3 linked regions of the Arabidopsis thaliana genome follow. The protein of the gene in region 3 purifies or fractionates together with the protein of the main gene of each other region. This does not show direct contact. Each region holds a gene or a part of one and is shown on either strand. Other genes may lie near its edges.

Evidence for each region.
Region 1: the proteins of SCPL34 (region 3) and AGP31 fractionate together in Arabidopsis thaliana (co-fractionation; one large-scale study listed by BioGRID). This does not show direct contact.
Region 2: the proteins of SCPL34 (region 3) and AGP30 fractionate together in Arabidopsis thaliana (co-fractionation; one large-scale study listed by BioGRID). This does not show direct contact.

The regions. Positions count from the first base shown.
Region 1 is NC_003070.9:9,887,285-9,894,469, forward strand, and holds AGP31 (arabinogalactan protein 31), read right to left. Parts: upstream 3,732-7,185; 5' UTR 3,560-3,731; coding exon 2,791-3,559; intron 2,358-2,790; coding exon 2,047-2,357; 3' UTR 1,817-2,046; downstream 1-1,816. Other genes in the region: AT1G28280 (VQ motif-containing protein), read right to left, coding at 1-111. UniProt on the Arabidopsis thaliana protein: Proteoglycan that may contribute to the strengthening of cell walls.
Region 2 is NC_003071.7:14,291,745-14,298,852, forward strand, and holds AGP30 (arabinogalactan protein 30), read right to left. Parts: upstream 3,610-7,108; 5' UTR 3,494-3,609; coding exon 3,085-3,493; intron 2,429-3,084; coding exon 2,118-2,428; 3' UTR 1,817-2,117; downstream 1-1,816. Other genes in the region: AT2G33793 (DNA ligase-like protein), read left to right, coding at 5,363-5,475, 5,582-5,671, 6,570-6,629, 6,735-6,774, 6,859-6,952, 7,062-7,108. UniProt on the Arabidopsis thaliana protein: Proteoglycan required for the timing of seed germination. May function in the abscisic acid (ABA) response.
Region 3 is NC_003076.8:7,806,765-7,816,639, reverse strand, and holds SCPL34 (serine carboxypeptidase-like 34), read right to left. Parts: upstream 5,996-9,875; 5' UTR 5,749-5,995; coding exon 5,442-5,748; intron 5,031-5,441; exon of another isoform or gene 5,016-5,030; coding exon of another isoform or gene 4,997-5,015; intron 4,648-4,996; exon of another isoform or gene 4,023-4,647; coding exon of another isoform or gene 4,001-4,022; coding exon 3,890-4,000; intron 3,794-3,889; coding exon 3,698-3,793; intron 3,608-3,697; coding exon 3,515-3,607; intron 3,404-3,514; coding exon 3,315-3,403; intron 3,220-3,314; coding exon 2,902-3,219; intron 2,819-2,901; coding exon 2,682-2,818; intron 2,348-2,681; coding exon 2,255-2,347; intron 2,168-2,254; coding exon 2,062-2,167; coding exon of another isoform or gene 2,032-2,061; exon of another isoform or gene 1,953-2,031; coding exon 1,803-1,952; 3' UTR 1,554-1,802; downstream 1-1,553. Other genes in the region: AT5G23212 (Defensin-like (DEFL) family protein), read left to right, coding at 1,081-1,235; AT5G23200 (C5orf35), read right to left, coding at 7,652-8,451, 8,550-8,824, 8,990-9,084, 9,292-9,321. UniProt on the Arabidopsis thaliana protein: Probable carboxypeptidase.

The sequences.
Region 1 (7,185 bases), on a different chromosome or scaffold from region 3:
TGGTTTGTTACTTTCACTGCTACTGCTCATACCGCAACTGTTGTTGCTGTTGTGACATCTCGGCGACGGAATCAGATTCGTCGCTTCTCTGTATCTCGGTGAATTCTCCATTGTAAGAGAAGAGAGCTTTTAGAGAGAGAGAGAGAGAGAGAGAGAGAGAGAGAGAGAGAGAGAGAGAGAAACTGTGTTTTGTTTTTGAGTTTAATAAGCTTTGTGTTTTGGTTCGGTAAGAAAATGTTTTCGGTGGGCGCTATTGGCTCTTTAGTCTTTTTTCTAGTTTCTTTAGGTCTTTGCTCACGCGCTGATTTAGAGAGTGCGTGTCACGCGCCGTCGTTGAAAGTGGGAGGAAAAATGTGCTCTATTTGGTTTTAGTCTTGGCAATAAATGATAGAGGTAGAGATAATTTACCCAAAGAACATTGAATATCATGAGAGGAAAATGTTGAACTCAATAAGCAATGATGGTTTAGATGACTAGGACGTTTATGTGACCTTTTGGTCAATAGAATTAATATAACTCGAAATGAATGTTATGGTAAGTTGATTTATCTACGTGTCGTCGTGATATATATATTCAACCAAGAAATGCTTATCTTGGAAGTAATCTAATCATTGGGTTTTAGTCGTTTGACTAAGTGAACTTAACATATGTGGAGAGATGTTGGGCTTTAATAGTTTTTTGGGCCTTATATTTATTGAAAATCTATGTGTACTTAGGTTGTTGCTTTACTTGTTGCCAAACGGGTTCGGTGTGGGTTAAGAAACCGAGCCCAGTTAGTGTTCATTTATTTGGGCCATGTATTATATATAGTTTATATTTTCACATTGGTGTTATCAAACTATGGAGTATCGATGACATATTCATTATTCAATACGTTAGATGTTTGAATTTTGATGCTAGAATTTAGGCTTGAGATTCAAAACCTTCTTCCTTTTCACTCTTACGATTTTTGGTGAAATGCTTTTATCCAAATAGTCAATACTAGAAATGATCAAACCTTATGAATCTCTCATGGATAGATATTTGATCTCGTGTCTGTTCAAAGAAGAAAATAAGAGTGAAGTTAGAAAAGATTCACACCGCAATATACAATTTCGATAATTAAACAGGTGATCAACACTTTCATCAAATTAGCTTCTTCTCAATGCGACTAAATTCTTCTTTGCTTCATAAAAAACTGAATTATAGTGACAAGGAGAAGTTGTAAAAAAAATCAATCATGATACTGTTACTAGTTTACGCCAAGTGAGTGTGTACAACATACTTTTTCTATTGACCCGAAATGTAGAGGCCTAATTAACCAATGCATAACAACCCGGTTAACATTTTTAAGAGAGCACGTGAGAAGCTTTATGAGCTAAGGAGAATCTTGATCCATGACACCCTATAAAATATTTTTTTTTTTTTAAATGTACAATCGCTTAATCGTCCCGCCACAACCCATAAACTCTTCTTGAATCTTGTTTAACACTTTTTGTTAAAACTGTTTTTTATTAATATCTTGAATTATTATTTGTCCTTTGTAACTTTGAGATTGTGATGGGAAATAATGTCAGCCCCGTGGCCGACAATTACGCAGCTGATTTTTCTCCGTATTCAAGAACAGACTAGAAACCCTATTCGATGAGTCCCCCTTCCCATCGAGCTTTTCACCCTTCTTTGTAATCATTTTTTTTTTTGTCTGCAGCGTAACTATTTTTATCATTTTTATTTGATCAAACAAAAAAGATATACAAGTTGAGAAAGAAAATAATATTCAAGTTATTCATTTAGTTACACATTCTAATTGTAAGATTCTATAGTTAACATTCATTTTGCTCATTCGTTTTGTAATGTAATGGAATCATCTTGAAAGCTGCTATTTTTATTCAAACGAAACTCAAACGACGTCACTTAAAGAGATACAACATAATACCCAAGCATTTAACTTAAAGACTAGCTAACATTGATTAAAATTCAACCGTACAGTAGACGCATAACAACACTCTCTCTCAATCTTTTTAAACATGAAACAATCAAGATAGTAACCAGAGCATCAAATCATCTTCATTTGGGGCAAGACGGGTTAAAGGCAAATGGACCAACGTTAAAGAGACCGTATACGAGCTTGTTGACGACCACCGTAGATTTTCCCAGCTTTTTCTCAGGCTTAAGTTCAGCGCCGACATCTCCACCGAAGAGCTTTGAGACTTTGCTGCATTTGTAGTCCTTTGATTTCACCAAATACACACGACATCCTCTGAAACCGAAGTTCGTCACCGTCTTAGGAGCCAACAACAAGAAGTATCCGTTCTTGTCTGTCGTCGTCTCCGCTGTTATGTTCTTCTTGCTCTTACACACTAGTTTCACCGTAGCACCTGCACAAACCCATAAAAAAATATTAGTCCGATATGTTTATAGAATAAAAGGATATAGTTATGTGTTTTTAATTATTTTTGTGGGAAGTAGTGAAATTTATTGGCCAGACTGTAAAAAACAGTGACTGATGAGTGCAGAAGTGTACATAGTCACTCTCTTTATTTCACACCTATTTTCGAAACATTGACTACTTACGTAACAAAGGTCCCACTTGTAACGTTTTCAAATTTGAATTATTTTCTGAAATATGCGTCATGATTAAGATATGAAGTACGTATTATTTTATAGATATATACACTGTTTGAATGCGTATGCAGAGCCAAGTTGAGTTGTTTGAGAGATTGTTACTGAGGTATGTCTCATGTATGAGTGAATAAACTGAATAATGAAGTGGAAGAAATAGTAGTAATTAACAAAGAAAATAGTTCAAACCTTCGATGGGTTTAGCGCCTAAGAGTGTGTTGAAAGCAGCGTACTTGCAGCTTTTGCAGTAAACCGTACCCCGAACGGCGACTAGACTACGGTTGAACTTAGGCGGGTAAACCGGCGGTGTAACAGGTGGCTTCGTCGGAGGAGAAACCGGAGGCTTAACCGGAGCTTTGGTAGGAGGGTAAACCGGGGGCTTAACTGGAGGTTTGGCTGGTGGGGAAACTGGTGGCTTGACCGGGGGTTTAGTTGGGGGCTTAACCGGGGCTTTGGTTGGAGGGTAAACTGGTGGCTTGACTGGGGGTTTAGTTGGGGGCTTAACCGGGGCTTTGGTTGGAGGGTAAACTGGTGGCTTGACTGGGGGTTTAGTTGGGGGCTTAACTGGAGCTTTGGTTGGAGGGTAAACTGGTGGCTTAACCGGAGGTTTGGCTGGTGGGGAAACAGGTGGCTTGACCGGGGGTTTAGTTGGGGGTTTCACCGGGGCTTTGGTGGGTGGGTAAACCGGGGGCTTAACCGGAGGTTTGGCTGGTGGAGACACTGGTGCCTTAACCGGGGGTTTAACAGGAGATTTGGCCGGTGGGTGGGGGTGAGGGTGAGGGTGAGGGTGGTGGTGATGAGGAGGGTGTGGGTGGTGGTGGCCGTGGTGGTAAGGAGCAGGAGCAGGAGCTAGAGAAGGGGTTTGAGTCTTATGGTTCACTTCTTCAGTGAAGACAGAGGAAGTGAAGCACCAAAGTGCTACGAGACTCACTAATACACTCTTACCAATGAAACCCATTTTTTGTTTTGTTTTTGGGTTAGTGATATGTTTTGAGATTATGAAATGGGTGTATATATAGGTGGAAGGTTCACGCTTCGAGTGTCATGAAATTACTCCCTTTTATTTGTAAATAGTAAATCAAAATCGATCGACATGAATTACCCCATTATTAGTTACTAGTACCATTTTGTGCCCAAAAAAAAAAAAAAAAAAAAAGTCACTAGTACCATTTTGTTACTCTCTTTTTTTTGTTACTCTTTTTTTCTTCTGATAGATATTCAAGATGGAAAACTTTAGTTATCCAACAACATTAAAATGGTCATTGTTTCCTACACATCTGAAAAAATGTGATATGCAAATTTTCTACTATTACGACCAAACAAAAGTCACATCCCTGGTGAACCAATGTTAAAAAGATCTTAACCCAATTTTACCAAAAAAAAAATCTTTACCCATCTAGTAAACATTTGTCGTCTAAAATATATAAAAAAGGACTAATAAGTGTAAGATCTTTTTTTTTTATGATAATAAAATTAGATTTAATATAAGTAAGATTTAGATCGCCTATTAATTAGTTGATGTGTGTTTAGATCGTCTAAGATATGTCAAGTTGGTGTATTTTTATCAAAAAAAAAAAACAATTTGTTGAATAATATAGTCACAAAAAAAAAAAAAAGATATATAGTCACACACAATAACTTTACTATTATCACTGGTGATCCATATAAAGTGAACATTAGTAAATACTTTAACAAAAGTAAGATATTGGGATACTATAAAATTTAGGAAATTGTTTTATAGCATGAGTAATAGTAATGTTGAATTTGAATTGTCATTATAATTTGTTTTGTGAACTTTTTGTTTTGACATTATATCAAAGAAAGCAATTTTGTTTTGAAATCCAAGCTAACATGCAAAAGTTTTTGATAATTTTTATCTATGTATTTAGAAAAATCATAAGTGATGGTAATAACAGGCATTAATTTTTTTTAAAGGAATTTAGTACCATAATTCACATATGAGATAGTAAAAAACTTTGATATAGTAGTCAGGCATCTGATTCGTGATTGTATACTATCGATGTTGATTGTAATCCGAAGTTATAAATTACCAAATCTGGTTTGCATAATTGATTGAATTTTTTTTGGATTATGTCAAACAATTTTGTTTTGAAAGTAGTATGTATAACATTTTGATTGGCATTTGTGACACAGGTTAAGCTACCATTCTATAAAAGTATTTCAACAATTGTCCTACTAAACATGTAGTATTCAATTATTTTCTATATACTAAGTAGAGAGTCGAAGTGACTTTGCCATTACTTATATGAAGAGCAAACAAAACTTTCATTTGATACATTGTGATTAATGGAACCACATTTATGTAAATCTGATGTGTTTTTTTCACTATTTTCTTATAATAGATCACTGAATGAGATCTTCGGGAGACTTTGAGCGTAATTGCTGCATTGAATAGCACATGTCGCTCAATTGCTTTAGAACATTTATTTTCATAATACGATTTAATGTTTTTTTTTGCTAAAAACAAGTAACATAATACATTAAAGTTTGGTCACGTAAGTCTAATATTCTTACACAAGTCAGCTGCTGATAACATACTAAATACATAAGACAACTCTATAATACAAAAATTACTCATCTCTTAACAAGCCAAATATATTCAAATTTGAATCCATCATTATTGAGATTACTGTTCTTCAAATAGTTAAACAAATTACGCTTAGATATTTTTCCTGTTGTTTGTCTGAATGTTTTTTTTGTTTTTTTCTGTGTAAAGATTAATTTTAAAACTTCTAAATCGATTCACGAGTAGGTCTTACCCCACCATTTCTACAATGATCAGTAATATTCACGAACTGGTAACTTAAATTATTACAGTTGTGGGAGAAATGTTTTTGTCCGGAGAGAGACATGTCATGTTACATTTTCGTGTTACCTGCAAAAGTATGGAAAAAAAATGATGGACCCAATATTGGACCCACCCACCCTATCAATTTTTTATTCTTCAAATAAAACCTATCTTTGGATGCTTTGGTCTAAACGTCTCACTAGAGATATAACACAATTATGGGCCATAATTGTTTAAATGTTTAAATCCGATAACGCGATGATGTATCATTACATTTACATAGTAGACTAATCATTCTTGTCGTTGGAATGATTCTCTTTGCTTTTACGTTTTACTGAATTTAATAAAAATAATAAATACGCCCAAAAAAGTATGCATCGTGAACTTACCACATTTCCCTCCAAGAAATATGGCTACTTTCGTGGTAGTCTTTGCCCTTACATTTTTGTGTATATATAAATTTTCATTAGTCTATAATTATAGGATAATATCATTGTTGCAAATTTATTGGTGATTTGTTTCCCCAATCTCTTAAGATTATAAATTGTACGTGTAAACATTTTTGCCGTTATTCGATTTATTATGAATAAAACGAAAATAAATATAATTAAGAAATAAACTCTTAGACAAACAAATACATATATGAAATATACAAGTACCCTTTAGTAACAGTTTTTAAGTTTTAATTATATTATTCATCTTATCCTATTTAATTCATGTTCTTGTTCCCACGTCCATATGAACGGTTAGGTTTGTTAGTGTCCGATATAGTTGTGGGATCTTCACATCAACAAAAAGAAGTCCCAACAATCTCTTAAAACTAATCATGACCAATTGTCTTTATACTACTTTGGTGAAATGTTTGGATTTAATTCTGGTGATATTATGCTACCTTTATATATACAAGTTTTGGCCCAAGATCTGCCTTCATATATCTGGGCTAATGATATACAGTACTTTATTAGATAACTTGTTTGTGCTGTGCGAAGAGAAAATTTTACATTTTGAAAATTCGTTCCAAGTCGTTAATACATGGTAGTTCATTAGTGATTGATTGAAATTTCATTAGTGATTGATTGTATTATTGGCTTATATCTATATACTTTTCTAAGTATAAGTTTTTTAATTGCCAATTTTCATATTCATATATGCGTTATTTACCAACTTGATTATCAGAACACCTATGTACACATGTAATATATTGAACGTTCATAAAAAGTTTCATAGTCCACACATGACATATATATCACATGATGACATTTAATGTCAAATTGAATTCCACGCTTCCTACGTTTTTTTATTTAGGAATTTCAGAACTTGGGAGCTGTGGAATCCATTATAGTTTAATGAAACTATGATTTTTAAAATGGGGTTATAACTTATAACTGTTTAAAGGATTTTTTTAAATGTTACTGTCAATAAATCCACTCACTCCGACTACTATAAATTTTAAAACTGAACATCTACAGCAAAAACTTCTATAAATTTAATATTATTGGGGGCATAATATTTATTACAAATATTAATTAATCAATATCTATTATTTTAATAGTTCTAGCAAAATTCAGTTTTCATTTTTGACTTCAAATTCATTATTCTTGCATTTTTGTGTTTTTATATATTGTCATAGTATTTTATTCAAATGTGTAAAAAAAAATCTGATTAAAAAAGATCTTAGAAAAAAAAAATCTGAATTTTTGTTTAATAATGTAAAAATGTTTTGCTGTATTCATATCTAACGCTAAGGCTCCAATTTGTAAATTGCATAATAACAT
Region 2 (7,108 bases), on a different chromosome or scaffold from region 3:
AAGTTCAATGGATGTATATTTATGTTTTACAAGCAATATAATCTCTTGTTATATAAGATCAGAAAAAAAAAATTTAGTTCAACATTATATGAACGTGTTTATGGTAAGAAAGTTAATTAATTTTTTTGGCATAAAATAGTATAACTCTTTTATTTAGATTTTGCATATATTTAATTTTATTATTTGGAAAGAAATTTGTTCTTTTGGATTGGCTTGGTGAGAAATGTACAAGTGGTACATACATATTGACCTTCCCATTAGGGTAAATATGACTAGCTATTTGTAGAATTGTAATCTCATGTCACGCGCCACTGTCAGAGTTAGGAACTGCCAACGTTTGTTGGTGTGTGGACCTGTTGACTTGTGATTTTCATAGTAATGAGATTATTAGTCAACATATTTTTAGTCAACGCATTTACCTTCTCAAAATTTTCAAAAGAGTATCTAACCATAGATATGGGATTATATTAGTCAATACATTATTAGTCAACACATTGATTTCACAAAATCTTGTTTTTGACCACAAAATCTTTGTGAAGATAATACTGCAGATACATTCAAAAACTTCCCATAATTCAAAATATGATAAATGTGCGTTATTAGTTATTACACAAAAATTCAAATATGAGTCATCTGTGTTGGATTTAGGCATTTAGCTTATTAAAAACTTTTCTTTCCAAACTCATTGTGTTTTGTGTATCGTTCACGGAGTAATTATGAAGAAACTAGAGAAGTTTTGAAGCACTAAACAAAGCTAAACATCAAAATATTTCTTTTTCTTTTAATGATAGAAGGTACCCAAGCTAATCTCTAACCATAAAAGAAGATGTTTATTGATATCAAAATCAATCATTATTAACCATAGAACGACAAGACGATAATGACCACCATTACATGGTTGAAACATCAAATTTTTAACAGCTAGACATTTCATAATGCAAGATGTTCCATCAAGCACAAGATCATACCACTCGACCTTTCCCCATATTTCTCCTCCTTCGCGCCTTTCGAGGGCAATCTCTGCACACCAAATTTCTGTTGTCTCGCTCATTTTCTCTATTTTATGCAAAAACACAACTAATTTTCTACCATAACTTGTTGTGAATGATCGTGGACCGTCCAAACGTAGTTTTAATTCCACACCGTTCACCACTTCCCAAATCCTCTCTTTCGGGTCATACGCTCTTATACAATTCATGTGATTATCATAGTAGTACAATACATCGTCTATAACACATGAACTAGCTAGACCATTTTTCAGAGTGCAACTAAAAATATAAATATGTAGGAACAAGTTAATCCAATGAGATCTTATTATGGAATGAAGTCTTGGGTAAGTAATTTGTTATTGGGTGATTTTGAACGATTGTAAAGTGTTATTAAGTTATACCAACCCATCTATTTACCATGTTTTTGCCAAAAGATATATGTGTTGTCAAAAATATATAGATTATGTAAGTTTAACAAAGTCAATAAACTTTATATATTTTGCCAAGTTGCCTAATTAATTTTGATTCATCTTTCAATTGAAGATATATAATGATGATAAATGATAGGAGATCTACTAAATTTTAACTGATCTTACAGAAAGTTTTTTCCTAAAATCAATTATACAATAATGACAAACTTACGTACAAAGATGACTGTTCGTACTCGTAGGTCGAAATCATAGATAACATTTTTATATATGGCATCAGAGGTTTCGTACAAAATGAACAAATGTACAGTATAATTATGAAAGAAAATTATTGTACTAGTTGCTCAACACTTGTCAATACTTGTTCTGATATGATGGTGTTGGAGATAAATTTGGTCATTTCGATTCCTAATGAATTAATATATAGGCTAATATATCAACGGTTGTGTTCATTAACATCCACATAACATATTCAGAGTCTCTTTTATTTAGCAAACTATTTTTTTCTTTTTTCTTTTGGGGTCACGAAGATAAGGAATTAACAAGAAAAACCTAATATGTAAACGTCACCACTTTTTATTTAAGAAGCAAATTAGAAAGATTAACACTACCAGAAAAGCCCATACAAAGAAACCAAGCTGATACATATTCAACACAATCATTGATTAATAAAAGTTTAAGTAGCTCTTATAACACCATCTCATTTGGGGCAGGTAGGTTCGAATGCGAATGGACCAACGTTGTACACACTGTACTTGAACCATCTCATGATGGTCGAGGAAAATCCTGGTTTCAAGACCGGCTTTAGAACGGAGCCCTTGCCTCCATCGTGGAGTGACGACACTTTGCTGCACTTGGTGTCTGGAGACTTCACGAGGAAAGCTCGACAACCTTTGATATCGTAGTTGGTCACCGTCTTAGGGGCCAGGAGCATGAAGTATCCGTTCTTGTCCGTCTTTGTCTCCGATATTGAGTTCTTCTTGTTCTTGCACACAAGTCTCACCACCGCATCTGTATCCCCAGATAACACAAACGAAATAAAAAGTGAAAATATAGTACTTGGATAGATTTGTTATACAGAAATTGTTTTAAAATAATGCAAGAGCATGTATTTGTTTAGATTAGTTATGGTAAATTTACCCTCTTTTTTTAAGAAGGGGCATGACTTGAACAAGATTTTCTTACTAGTTGAGCTAAATTTGGTATTATAGGAAACTTGGGGAAAACAATGACAAGGCTTCGCTACAGTAGATTGTCTTAACCAAAAACCTATTGATTATAATTAAATTAAATTCAAAAGCATTGAAAGAAGTTACTTAGTTTTCCATGGTATATTTTATGTTTATCAATTCGTGAAGGGACCAGAATGATACGACCGGCTCTGAACTAATCTCGCTTGGTAGCATATAGTTAAAAGTTTACACAAAAAGTTTTGAACAACCGACAATGAGATTATGATACATATAACATATGCCTAAAATAAATGTAAAGGATGAAGTATGCATGCAGCATACCTTTAGCAAAAAAAAAGTATGAATGCATGGGATTGAAGTGTGGACTTTTCACATACGGACATACCACGGTCCACAGGTGCGTATATTAAGGGTTCGAGTGATTTTTAGGATAATATATAGACTTTCATATCATGAATGTATATAAGTGAGTACCTTTAACGGGTTTAGCGCCTTGGACGTTGTTGACGCCCGCGTACTTGCAAGCTTTGCAGTAGACCACACCTCTAACTGCCACTAGGGTCTTGTTGTACTTAGGAGGGTAAACTGGTGGGAGAACAGGAGGTTTGATCGGTGGGAGAGTTGGTAACTTAATCGGAGCTTTGGCTGGTGGGAGAGTTGGTAGCTTGATCGGAGCTTTGGCTGGTGGGTAGGCTGGTAGTTTGATGGGAGCTTTGGCCGGTGGAAGAGTTGGTAGTTTGATTGGAGGTAGGGGAAGGTGTTGGGGAAGGCTATGGAAGGGATCTGATGAACCAGGTTGATTCACTCCTAAGGTGAAAACAGAGGAAGTGAAGCACAAAAGTGCAAAGAGAGTTAGAGAAACACTCTTACCAATGATTCCCATCTTTGTTCTTTTGTTTTTCTTTGTGTGTGTGACTTTGGGTTGATGTGACTTGGGTGTATTTATAGGAGATATCGGGCTACAATTTTTTATACTTCATATAGATACTAGAGAGTAGAGGCATACACAGCACATGTACACAACTGGCGAGAAGTTTCCGATCGATGTAGTCCCGTTAAAGATTTAGATTTAGATCTCCTAACAGGTTTGAATACTTGAAGCAAGAAACTCGATATTGATTTGTAGTACAGTCACTTCCCGGGTTTTTTTAATAGAATAAATGAAAACTTCGTCAACCTACCTGAAGTTTATTTTTTCTGATGAAAAGATAATAATTAACGAATGCATCACAGCTGAATTCAATACAGTGTTTAGTCATATATATGTTAATATTCAACAAATTAATGTTATGATTTGAAAGTTTTATGAGAAAATTATAGTCATGTATATGTGAATTTCTTATAGTTTGTGAATTTAATGAGAGTTAGTAAAAAAAAATATAGATATAATTTTACAAATTCTATTGGACAATATGTAAATTTACAGTGTAACTTTCAATGCAAATATCTGGGATATAGATAGTATTAGTGCATGAGTTTTCATTCATGTTCCATGTTTTGTGGTCCTTAACATGGGCATGGCAACAAGATGCGCCTGGTGCGGCTTCAACACATTACAACACATTTAAAAGTTCAATTAATATCCACACTTCTGTTTCTATTTATTTGGGTTTCCAATTTGATTAAATTAGCAAAACGGTGCCTATAAAATTATTCTTAGATCAGGATAAGATAAAATACGTTAAAAAGTCAACTAGATTTTAATGAAACTGGTAAAACAATGCCCGTGTAATTATTCTTAAATCAGGAAAATAACTATTAAAAATTGATGTTAATTAATAGTGGAAACTCTTTTGGTCTAGTGTTTTACAAAAAAGATTTATACTTTCATCGTTTCACGTCATGCATAAGATTTCATTTCCTAAACTATACAATGCCTTGGAGATTATAAGTGCAATTCTTTTGGAGGTTCTGAATAAAGCTATGTGAGATCAAATACTTTTTGAAAAATTCCAAGCTTCGCAAACGTATGGTATAGCGTCACATGTAATATTTAGAGTGTTGAACCACAGAACTTTGATAAAACGTTAAATGGTACGGTGATATGTATTTAGTTTTTAGGATTGGTATTAACCTAAACCAAAAAAATAAAAATAAAGCGTGAAGATATACATAAACGTAAACACAATGGCCTTAAGCTTTGAGAGAAGAGGTAAGACAGATATACGCTAGAGTAAACCATAAACTAGGCCTAGGGGTGAAAGTTTCTAACTTTCTATACTTCAATGATCAATCTCAAGATAACAATGAGATCGACATGCAATAATTTGAGTTAATTTGGGTTTGAGTTGAAGGAAGTTTTCATACGCATTTTTAAGCCATGAGGCCCAATGATGTTTTGACAAAAAAATAGAGGCCCATGATGTATCAAGTCTCATATTTCATTTGGGTTAAAAATTGATGTAAATAGAAGTAACAGTGACTTTTGTTACCCACAATTTGAAGAATTATATGCATAGAATAATTTTTTATTTTTATAATAGTAATTATGTTAGCCATAACTTAAAGAAGAAAAAAAAATCAAAAAAGAAAACGAAAATAGTGAGAGTACGTGATCAGCTACGACGGCATCCACAATACGTAAGTGGGCTATATATTATTGTGAAGTGTGAAGTCTTCTAACAAACAAACAGAATTTCAAAATTCAAATTCAAATCCAAATCACACGAGCGAGAGAGAGCAGATAATCGCCACTCGCCAGAGCTATTGATTTCGCTTCATCGAATCTCACACTCTCTAAGTTTCGTCTGCAATGTCGTCTACCAGAAGAGGCACTAAGAGAACTCGGCCAGAGCCGCCGCAATCGCTCAAGAAGCCAACACCGAAAGCAAAACTCCCGGACGAATTGGATGTCGATGTTTCTAGGTCCGTTCTCGTGTTTTCTTTTGCTTCGTCTTCTTCTTTTTCTTCGTTTCTTCTGTTTTTTTGCTGAAATGTGACTCGCGATTGTGTTTCCGTGTTGATCGTGTAGCGATTTCAAAGGAATCATGTCGGCGTTGCAGCAATTCAGAGAGAAAGCGCACGAAGATGGCCGTAAGAAGAAGGAAGAAAGCATTTCCAGGTCATATATCTCTCCGTTACATGTTTCTCTCTGATTAGGTTATGTAAACTTCGATTTCATCATTCACTATGCAGTTATCGAGATATTCATGTCGATCGCTCATGTGCATTTGTTGATGGAGCGTTTCTTCTAATTGTTATCGTTGGTACATGAATTAGATCTGGATCTTGTATCGCAAATCAATTTATCAAGTAGATATAGCTAGATGAAGCTAAGGTGTTTGATCATTTGTTCTAGCATTTGATATTGGTTGATCTGTTGTGAAATTGGTTATGGTATGCTCATGTATCGCTTAAACTAGAAAGCATATATATGTTCGATTGATAGATATCAAGCTCTTTTATATGTGGATTAGTCTGGATCTTGTATCGCAAACCAAATATCAACTAGTTTTAGCTAGATAAAGTGTTCGATCATTTGTTCTAGCCTTTTTGATATTGGTTGATCTGTTGTGAAAGTGGTTGTGGTATGCTCTTGAATTTCATAATCTATAAAGCAAATGTTTGATTGATAGATATGAAGCTCGTTTAGTTTCATAGATACAGAATGATCAGTCTTTTGTTCATCAGCTCTGAAGCACTCAGCTATCTATTGTGCAACTGGTTTTGGTATTGCTCTTTGTCTCCCTTAAACTAGAAAGCAAATGGTTGATTGATAGATATGAAGCTCGTTTGATTTCTTAGATACAGAACGTTTAGATGTTCAGACTTTTGATTTTGATACTCAACTCTGAAGCAATCGGTTGATTTGTATCACTACTTGGTATCTAGTAGCATGGTTTTGTCATTTATTGTTCCAGAAAGATAGAATCATCTGAGGATTGTGAGTATCCTGCTTTTGAAGTGTCGTTTGTTTTATATTTGAATCTTTCTTTAATCCTTGTGTATCTTTCTGGCAGTGTGTCCACTGAGGTGAAGTCAAAGATTGACGAGCTGAAGTCAAAACTTGAGAAAGAAAGGTAGGCTATGTTGTTGAGGATAGATGTCTGATATTCAATTACATGCTTTGTGAATGTTGGTTTGCAAGATTCTGATGAATTGTGTCCTTGACTTACAAAATGCAGACAAAACTTTTCCAAAGCACTTTCAAAGAGTTCAAAGGAGGTCTGAACAAACATCCTAAGACGATGTTCAACTTAATTTAGCCTTTAGAAATGTACAAGGATCTGACCTGATCCATTTTTGCAGTGTGAGAATATTTTGAAGGATGAAGCTGCCAAGTTTGAGGAGCTTCATAAGAAATTCGTGAAAGACAAAGCTGATCATCTACAAGGCTTGAAAGGTATTCTGGTTTTGTCATCTCTTACTGTTGGGCGTCAAAAGTGTAGATTTCTTTCATTAGCTAATTGGGATGTTACCAAAAGTATTGAACATGTGTTTCTGCTTTACAGACACTATTTCAAAGTTTGAGGAGGACAAGGAGAGGCTCTACATGCGA
Region 3 (9,875 bases):
GTTATTTTAATCGTTTTTTTAGCAAAACACTATTATCTGTGCTTAAATCATAGAAGATTCATTGCCTATCGTATCTATAGATATATCAGAAAATAATAGAATTAGTTAGAAATTGATTTTAAAAATGTTTTATAAAAATAAAAATGTTTTGAAATTTAGAGGGTTTGCTACTTTAGTTAAATTAATAATATAAGTTTTGAAATGATAAACCTTAACTAATATAAAGGTCTCATAGTTAAATAAATCAGATTAGAGGTTAATACTTTTTTAATTGACAATATAAATAACAATTACTTCATGACCCCTTACTTCATTGATTATAAGAGGATTTGTTTTTCTGCTTTCAAATAAAAGTTTAATATCTTATAAACAATTTCTTATTGATTAGGAAAAAAATTGAGTTAATTTTGAAAGTAAAAAATAACTAATATATAGATTTTGATTTTGAGTTATTATTAATGGCTATATGCATATTATTTCAAAATTTAATGGCTAGATGCATGTTATTTCAAAATTTAATGGCTTATATGCATGTTTTTAATATATAGATTTTGATTTTGATATATATGTATATTTTTAATTTAATGGCTATATGCATGTTTTAATATATAGATTTTGATTTTGATCTATATGCATGTTTTTAATTTAATGGCTATATGCATGTTATTTCAAAATTCAGTATAAAACAATCAAAATTCTTAGTTTATTCAGTGAAGTAGAAAAAAGGATCTTATATCAATATTATATAGATCGAAAGATGACATCGATGAAACTTCACATTGTTGCTCTTTGTATTATTGTTTCCTTCCTTGTTAATGTTCAATCCACTCGTAAGTATTGGTTTCTTGTCTAATAAATATACGCTTTTTCAATCATATATGCATATAGGTTGGAGCCTAGATGTTTGTATATGTGTTATCACTTCGAAACTATCCGAATCAAAATTCAGTATAATATATGTTGTCGACAAAAATATATGCATATAAATATGTAATAATCATAGGCATTTTATACATAACAAAAATATCTATGATGGTAACTTAACAAGTAAATATTTTTAAATTGTGATGAATTCAACAGGAATTATGGATGCTTCCTCAGATTGTGAATTCAAAGGACCGTGTCATAAGAAAGAAGATTGCTATGACTCATGTGGAGTGAACAAACCACCGTTTAACAATGCTATATGTGTACCTGGCAGAGATTCGTTTCAATGTTGTTGTATTTTATCGTGATTCTATTCAAATTTAGTTTACTATTGACTTATTAAAAAAGTTATATCAAAAAAAGATACATCTGAATTCTATTGATTAACAATTTTTTTTTTCTTTCATAATCTTGTCTTAAAACGAAATAAATATAATGATATTTGTTGTCATACCCATAACAATGAAGAAAACTCAAAGAGAAGAGAGAATCATATAAGAGCCATGTACATTTATTTGGCGAATGTATTTGACGTTGAATATGAAATATGTGTAACACTGAATTTACAATATTTTCTAAATTTCATCATCATCTCTTTCATAATTATCATATTATTGACATCTAAAATTTTCTTCCAACTTATATAGAAGTAAGCCTAGCTAAAATTTGTGTTGTTTGGATCATTGGATGACTATATATTGTTAAAGAATTATCCAAGAGATGAGAGTTTTAGAGGTCACTGTAACACGAGAAAACATGTAAAACGCGATAAAACATTTGTACAATTCTAATATAATGGCCTATTTTGCTCAAATCTGTTTATTATTGTTTTAAGAATTATATAAAGATCATAAAATCTGTGGGTAGAGAAAATATCAAAAGGGAAAAGTAGGAAGTTTCTTATTGCCTAGAAAATGATGAATGAGCTGAAGAGCTTCTCTAGGTTTAAATGTCGGAACCTGGTGTCCCGCTCCTCTTACCGTCACAAACATTAAACCGTCATACTCCACCGTCCACCCTCCGACCTAACGGCAAGTGAAAGAAAAATATATATATATATATATATATCTTTAGAGTCAATCACACACTTACTTGGAAGAAAAGTTAAAGTTTGTAACTTGGAACCAAATTAACCTGTAGTTTGGTGTACCAAGGTGTCCAGTCTTGGACTATCTTAAGACCTAGCTTCTTTAGTGAGTATCTGGTTGCGGTCACGGGGATTCGCCCGTCTGTATCCCCACTATTAAGTTTACCAAACAATTTAAAACGGTTATCGCTCGTTTTCAGTTAATTCTTACATAAAAATGCCAAGGATTAGGTGTTATACCTGAAAACCCATACGCGTAATCCCGCTGAAACAAGTGTTCTTAAGGTTGGAAGCATAGAAGCGGGAGCGTCAGACCAGAATGAGACAGTGTCACTGCACATAGTAAACCATGCATATGGTTTAAGTTCCTATCTATCAATCATTTACCACACACGCTTTTGGTTAAACTATGATAGTAAGAGTATTAATATGTAGGTGCATGTGACAATTCATAAACTGATTCAATTTCCTTTGCCTATATTCGAACAAACCATAACCAAACAACCGGAAAAAAAAAACTGCTTCCTCAATATATACCTTAGAATCCTAAAACGTTAACATATATTGCTAAAAAAGACCAAACCAAACTATATGTGCTTTTTATATTTCATGAAAAACAAAATCTGGAAAACCTAACCGAAAATAAGATTGAACGTCGTAATAATACCTGCAATGAGTCCAAGGGTAAGAGATGTTGGTGACATTAGCGTGAAGTGCCTCCTGAACATCTTTTCTGTTCATATATTTTTCTGTATACTCTGATGCACATGGATCGTACCCGGCGGCCATCCTCCTCCATCCTTCCTGTATATAATCAATTATAACCGGTTAGTCAAATTGGTTACGAAAGAATTTTTTCTAAGTGATTAAAAAGACGAATTACTTACATTGTGAGAGATGAGACGGGGTCGTAGAATGCTTCGGAATGCGGGTAGGGGGCGGTTTCCGGCGACTGAATGAGAAGTAGAGGAGTTCGTGGAGGTGGGGACACACTTTGGAGCGTACAGACTGTACATGTCAAGGATCTTGTATACATCAAAATACTCATCTAAAGCGTCGTTGCATTCCTTGGTCACAAGTTTTTGTTTGAAATCGCAGTTTTTGTTCACTTTCTCGTACAATGCATCTGATATCACCGCGTGATCCCATGCATATTCTATCATCCCCTTTTGATCCGTTTCGTCATCCAATAACGCGTTTCCTATCTGTATATATATACAATTCAAAGTCTTCATCAAAACACTAGATATAGTGCAAGTGAAACTAATAATTATTGGATTGATTTAAGAAAATCTCTGACCATTAAACCCTTGAGATTAATGAAATCTTTCTTGGACGCAATCTTGTTTTCTTTGTAGATGAGCTCCGAAAGTTGTGGGACGTAATGGCCTAATAATTCCACGCAAATCATACATATTCAATGTTTTGTTTTTTGGTTTTGTAATAATCACATGTAGAAACGACGTCGTGTATTTCTAACTTATAATAATAATAATTTACCGGCGTAGCTTTCTCCGGCAATGTAGAAGTCGTGTGACTTGTACTGGGGAAATCTCTTGAACCAGTTGACAAGGAAGTTGTACGAGTCTCTCGCTGTTCATCATACACAAACTTTAATTATTAACTTACAAACAAAACTAATATTTCATTAATAAAACTAATGTTATATATAACAAACCGAACCTGTGACAGTGTCGCCGAGTTGTTTTATATCACGGCTTGTGTTAGTATAGGAGAATCCAACTCCAACCGGCGATTCCAAGAATAACAAATTCGCCGCTATGTAAATCACATTTCAAAAACATTAATTCAGTTACATTATTGATAGAAAGAGAGATAATATTTGAATATTTAGAAAGTTATGTATACCCATACCTTTGTTCCAGCTGTATGGATTTAGCTTGAGTTTAGGCTGACTCGAGTTTTGTGGGAAGAATGGTCCCAGTTCTTCTGCAGCTCCGAATCCGATTGATGAACATCCCGGTCCTATATTCACATTTTTCACCATTGAAATCTCAATATACTATAACTAAATACATTTTACTATGTACATTATTTGGAAGTACCACCAAATTTAAACTTAGGTGATATAGGCCTACTCCTTTAATTTGACTCTACATTATGTTACTTTTTATTCACTATTATTGCATAGGGTCCATTTAATTTAAGGGTTTTGTTGCTTATAATGATAAACTTGCCTTTATCAAGAAACACACGAATAAAAACAAACTTGAGAAAACTTTTAGGGCGTGCATATACGTGCATGGACCATGTGTAATGTTTGGAATCATAATGAATTATGGACCGAAGGACCGTTTAAGTTTCATGGAATTGACTTTTCTTGATATGATGATAATAGATAGATGCATAACTTTTGTGTCAATAATTACTGTGCCTTCATATTAAAGTAAAGGGCGCAATGAGCCCACGGGAGCCTATTAAAGCCTAAATATGTGGAGGTAATAATTTTAATATCCATCACATGCATATGAATTCAATTAATATGTAATAAAATATAAGCATATGGTTAATCTTCCACCAAACTAATTATCTTTAATCTTTCACCAAAATATTTTCCAAGCGTGTTATGCTGAACAAAAAGACTTACAATAATCTATCAAAGATTTTATTGTTTTATGACTATTTTCATCAAAATTTGGATTTTTACGTTGTTTAGCTCTTTATGAATAAAATGACTTAAAAATAAAGTATTTTTCTATTAACAATGTGTAAGAAACCATAAACATCTAAAAGAAAAAACCATCTAAAAGCAAAGCATGATGGAACGTTGAGATATGTGGATTGTAAATTTAAATATATAGCAAATGAGTCTACAAGAGAATAAAAGCTAGCATATATAGGATCATGTAACAACTAACAAGCATGTGGAATCATTACAAGCTTCCAAAATTACTTTAAAGTTTAACCAATCACAACCAAAACTCATCATGATGGTGATGATGATAACTACTAACCACATACGTTTCATTGATTTTGACATGGTGCCAAATGAGATACGTCTTACTATTAGGAAGCTTCACCTAATATTCTCCCCAAGTTACCTTTTTTTGTCTCCATGCATACAAATGACTGATACATACATACCTATTTATTTATGGTTTATTTTAATCCACGTTAAAAATTATTTCAGCTGTATTATATTATTTATATAGTATACGTACGTTAATTTTTTGTTATTTTACGTGTAATGTTGTTAAATGGAATTGTTTTTCTAACCCAACTCATGAAAGTTTCAAAATTCGAATATAAAGATTGCGCAAGGATCAAATATCTATTACGAAATCAATATCAAGTAGATGAAATGCACACAAAGCATGATACACCTTATTTTATTGGTGGGTTTTAATCTTTTAACTATGAGACGTAATAGAAGAAAAATGAGTGGATGTGAGTTAGTTTAACTTACCTCCATTGAGCCAAAGGAGGACAGGTTTTTTGCTTGGATTCTGAGTGGCTTCAAAGAACCAATAGAACAATGCTCTTCCATGTGTTTCATTAACCGTCACATAACCGGCGTATTGCCGGAATTTCACTGGCGGCTGTCCCGGAAGCTCTTTCACTCGATCAGCTCGTTGCGCTGCCAAAACCCTAGACCGGAAACAACCGTTGTCGCCGTCGTTGTCACTGCACAGCTTTTCTGCTGATGTTGAGCCAAGAAGAAAGGACACAAGAAATAGGACAAGAACAGAGAACTCAACACTATGAGAACCCATTTCTTTTTAGTTTATTATAGTTTAATATATCGAATTTGTGGAAATTGTGAAGTGACTGTGTAAGCTTATATAATGTTGTGTGAGAGAGAGAATGGGATTCAGAGACAGATAAGAACACTCTGTAGTCTCACTGGGTGGTAACCATATTCATAAGATAAGACACATGAGAAAAATCAAATTCTGGAAAAGTAAAAAGAATTTTATTTCTTTCTGATTACAAAGAAAGATTCATTTCTTTTTATAGGAAGATTTTTCTCTTTCTTTTTAATTAGTTTGAATAAATTAATAGTTGCAGTTTTATAAATATTTTTTTTTATATGAATTTCTCTTTTTGTTAACACTTGGTGAAATATCTACACACGCAATTTGTGATCTGTCTTTAATATCGTTTTCTATTTGAATTATATGATTATACTTGTCTTTGTAACCATTTCCTTAAGACGAAGACATCAAAAAATATCAAATATGATAGAAAGCAAGAAATTTTATTTCTTTTTATATCAGTAATAATAGTAGCAAATTCTCTTTATAAAAATAGAAAGGTTTGTTAGAAATTGAGTTTCCCTTTTTATGGGCAATTTCTCTTTTTGTTAGACTATACTAGATAAATAGAAAATACGTACAGACAGACGCAACTTGTGCTATGTCTCCAATATCGTTTTTGTATCATGATTGAAATAATTTGATATATAAATCAAAAGGATAATATAAAAAAAATGTTAGAGAATTAGAGATAATGAAGTGATTGGTCAATGAATTGGAATAGAAGGATCCAAATAAAAAGCAGAGCAGAGCAAAGAAAGTGACGGTTCATTTCATAAGATTATTTCTTAAGAGAGATTTGACCAAACACTGTTTTACTTCTCTCTCTCTCAATCTTTCATGTTCCTCCCCCTTGAAATTAGCAACGACCGATCTACATAAATATTTTTATATAATATAATGTGTGAATTGTGATGTATGTGCAAAGTAAATTATACCTGTCATATAACAAAACAGAATGTTACGGCTTTGATTGCGTAATAAAAAGATTCAGTTTCTGTTTATATACGTCATAGAAGTGTATATCTACATCTACATGTACTCTCCTATTATACCTATATACATTAAGAAGTCACGAGGCATTTATGTTACAGTGTGATCAATATGAAATGTTTACAAACAAAAAATTTATAAATTTTTTTGTTTGCATTATTATATGACTAACGTGTTTTAAAAGAAACTAGCTAAGATTCTCTACGAAGATCATAAACATGTAAACATTTACTCTCTTTTTTTTCAATTACTATGTCTTTTTTTTGCGTAGATAATTATTACATGTTTAAGTTATCAAATAGTTCAAGAGTGAGTTTAAACAACATTTGATATACTCACAATGATTATAGATAATAGAGTTATAAGATTATACAATTATAGTTTTCATATAATCGTTTATGTTGAAGTTGTGCATTTTATGTCTACTTTATTGAATTCGCTATTCCTTTTGTGGTAATTATTCGGTAGTCATATTTTCCGATAACTTTTGAACGTCTTCAATTCAATAATTTTGACTACAAAACCAAATCCATCATTAAGTCATTTATCACATTCAACAACACAGATCATCACCATTGTTCCATTCCAACCATCCATTGAGAACTCTATAATTGCATTGGCATTACGTAATTTCCCTATTACAGTTGCAGCACTGGTTTCATCACAGAGTCGTGTGTTGCTCTTCGTCCATAGTATGTAACAACAGAACAACATAAAATATTAGAATAAAATGTCTTCCAAAAATAATCGAAAAACAAAAATAGTGACACAATCAGCGAAACGACGTCCCGCTAATAGTCTAAAGAAAACCGAGGAGCATGTTTTGAAACAGAGCCTTTCAAGTTTCATTAAAACATAAAAGAGAAATTTAGCTCCATCTTCTCCTATCTTCCTCCTCGTTAACCGGAGTATACCAATCTGGTCGTCTCTTAGAGTTGCTCAGCCTGTAATTCAGCAAAAGTTCCTCATTACACAACGACCTCGTTGCCACCAAGACCAGTGTCTTCAGAACCGGAGCTTCTAACCCGTTTTTACTCCCTGTCTTAAACCAGAAACTTCCAAATCTTTTCATCTTTATTTCTCCAGAATCCCCAAAAGATATATTCGGAATGTAAGGCCGCAGATCTTTCGCCATCAAAGGGAAGTCATAAGGACATATCATAACGTTTGGAGTCATCTCTTTCGCTGGGTGGTTAGCTAAGTGACCAAAAGCCAACGGATTTCTCCTCTCAAGAACCTCTTTTCCTTTACCCGAACCTTCGAGAGGCTTGCTCAACGCTTTCCATAACCTGTCTGACCCGTTTTCTGCGGTTTTGGTGTTTGCTTTGACCGCAGGTGTGTAGGACCCGTTCCATGCTTCCCTTGATTCTCCCCCAAGACCCCAAGGTTGAGCATTTATTACAGTCCCATCATACCTGGTGATGAGATATGAGTTCTGTGAATCAACCTTCGGGTACCCGGGTATGTACTTGTAGAAAGCAGGAGAGTAAATAACTCCAGGGTAAAAGGCTAAGACGGTTCCAACATCTGCCTCGCCTTTGATAAAACAACCTTGACCAGCGTCTTTGTGAGGTATTACAGACGGTTTGGTCTCGAGGGTGTAACCCATTTGATCCATTAATCTCTGTGAGACGTCATTGAGTTTCAAAGGCTTTGTCTCGGGAACAACTGTGCTGAAGAAGAATCAGTGAGAATACTAATTAAGCTGAAAGAAAAATACTGAGTAATAAGTTCACAAATCGATTCAAGTAAAGTAAAACACTTACGGGGCTGATCTGCATGTGGAAAAGCATTATTACTACCAATGGCGAAAGTAAGACCACTTCTACGAGGAGGACGAGGGCTTGTTGATTGTGACCCCGACTCGTTCCTCCTAACATCAGGAAGAAGGATTCCATCCATCAAAGAGCAGAATTTTTCAACTTGGTAGTGAATGTTCTCTTGAACTTGCTTCTGCTGCTCAGATAAAGTGGCTTTACCAGCCATCTCAATGATCTCCTCTGCATCAGTCTCCTCAGCTTCTCGTCCCAACCGGTTATAGCTAAACACAACAAGTTTTCATGAGCACAAATAGTGGATGTATATACAAGAATTAATAACTTAGAAGGAAAAAAACTAGAGCTAAACTAAAGACTATCGTGTGTGATGGTTCACAAATCCATATTAGAAATCAGACTTTGATTCTTCTGAGACAAAAAAAACCAACCTTGTATACATAAAGAGTTTGTTAACGTCTGCTTCAAACTGCAGTTGCCTTGGGTTCTTAGCAAATGTGGTACTCTTGGCAAGAACTCCAACAGCCTGCAAATGCAAAGTTTATCAAATGAGCAACTTCATTAGAAATTTATCAATAAAAAACGAAACTTTACGATTCCCCTTCAGCCTAATTTCAATTCTTCTAATCTTAATTCTATTGGTGCAAATCGAAAAGACTAAATCCGAACAAAAAATTCAAACTTTCTTCACACCCAGTAAGAGATCAAACACAGAAGCAAGAGATTCATTAACCTGCTGAAATTTGTTGAAAAGAGTCGCCATTTTTAGTTTTCTTTCCTCTGAAACGATTCTCCACGCTCTTTGTTTATAAGGATTGCAAGAAATTACTGAAGAACATCAGGAATCGCGAGAGCTTGGGGCGAATCAAAAACCTCCATTGATGAAGAAGACTGCATCTAGTACTTTACTTACTCGGTAGCACACCTCCATGGGCAGGCTCCAGCACCATGGTTGGGCCCATTTCTTATTAATGGGCCTAAAATAGAGCTTCTAGGGCCTCTATATATTTTGTCTTTTCTCTTCCGTTTAGGCGTTTTGCTAACTTTCTTACGTATATGAATGTGAATTATAGTTAGTTAACTTTAGAACTGTTGAGCGGCCAATGCCACGTCCTTTGTACGTAAATTATGTTATTCATGCTATTATTTATGTACCAATTTTCTATTCTAATATATATTCTAAGTTTTTTTTGTATCAATACTAAGTATTTATACAATTTTTGCAAATTTTGACAGAAAGATAGTACAAAAAATATGAAAGACCAAAAACTACATAAACCACCAAAAATTACAACACAAACAGAAAACGGAAAGAAA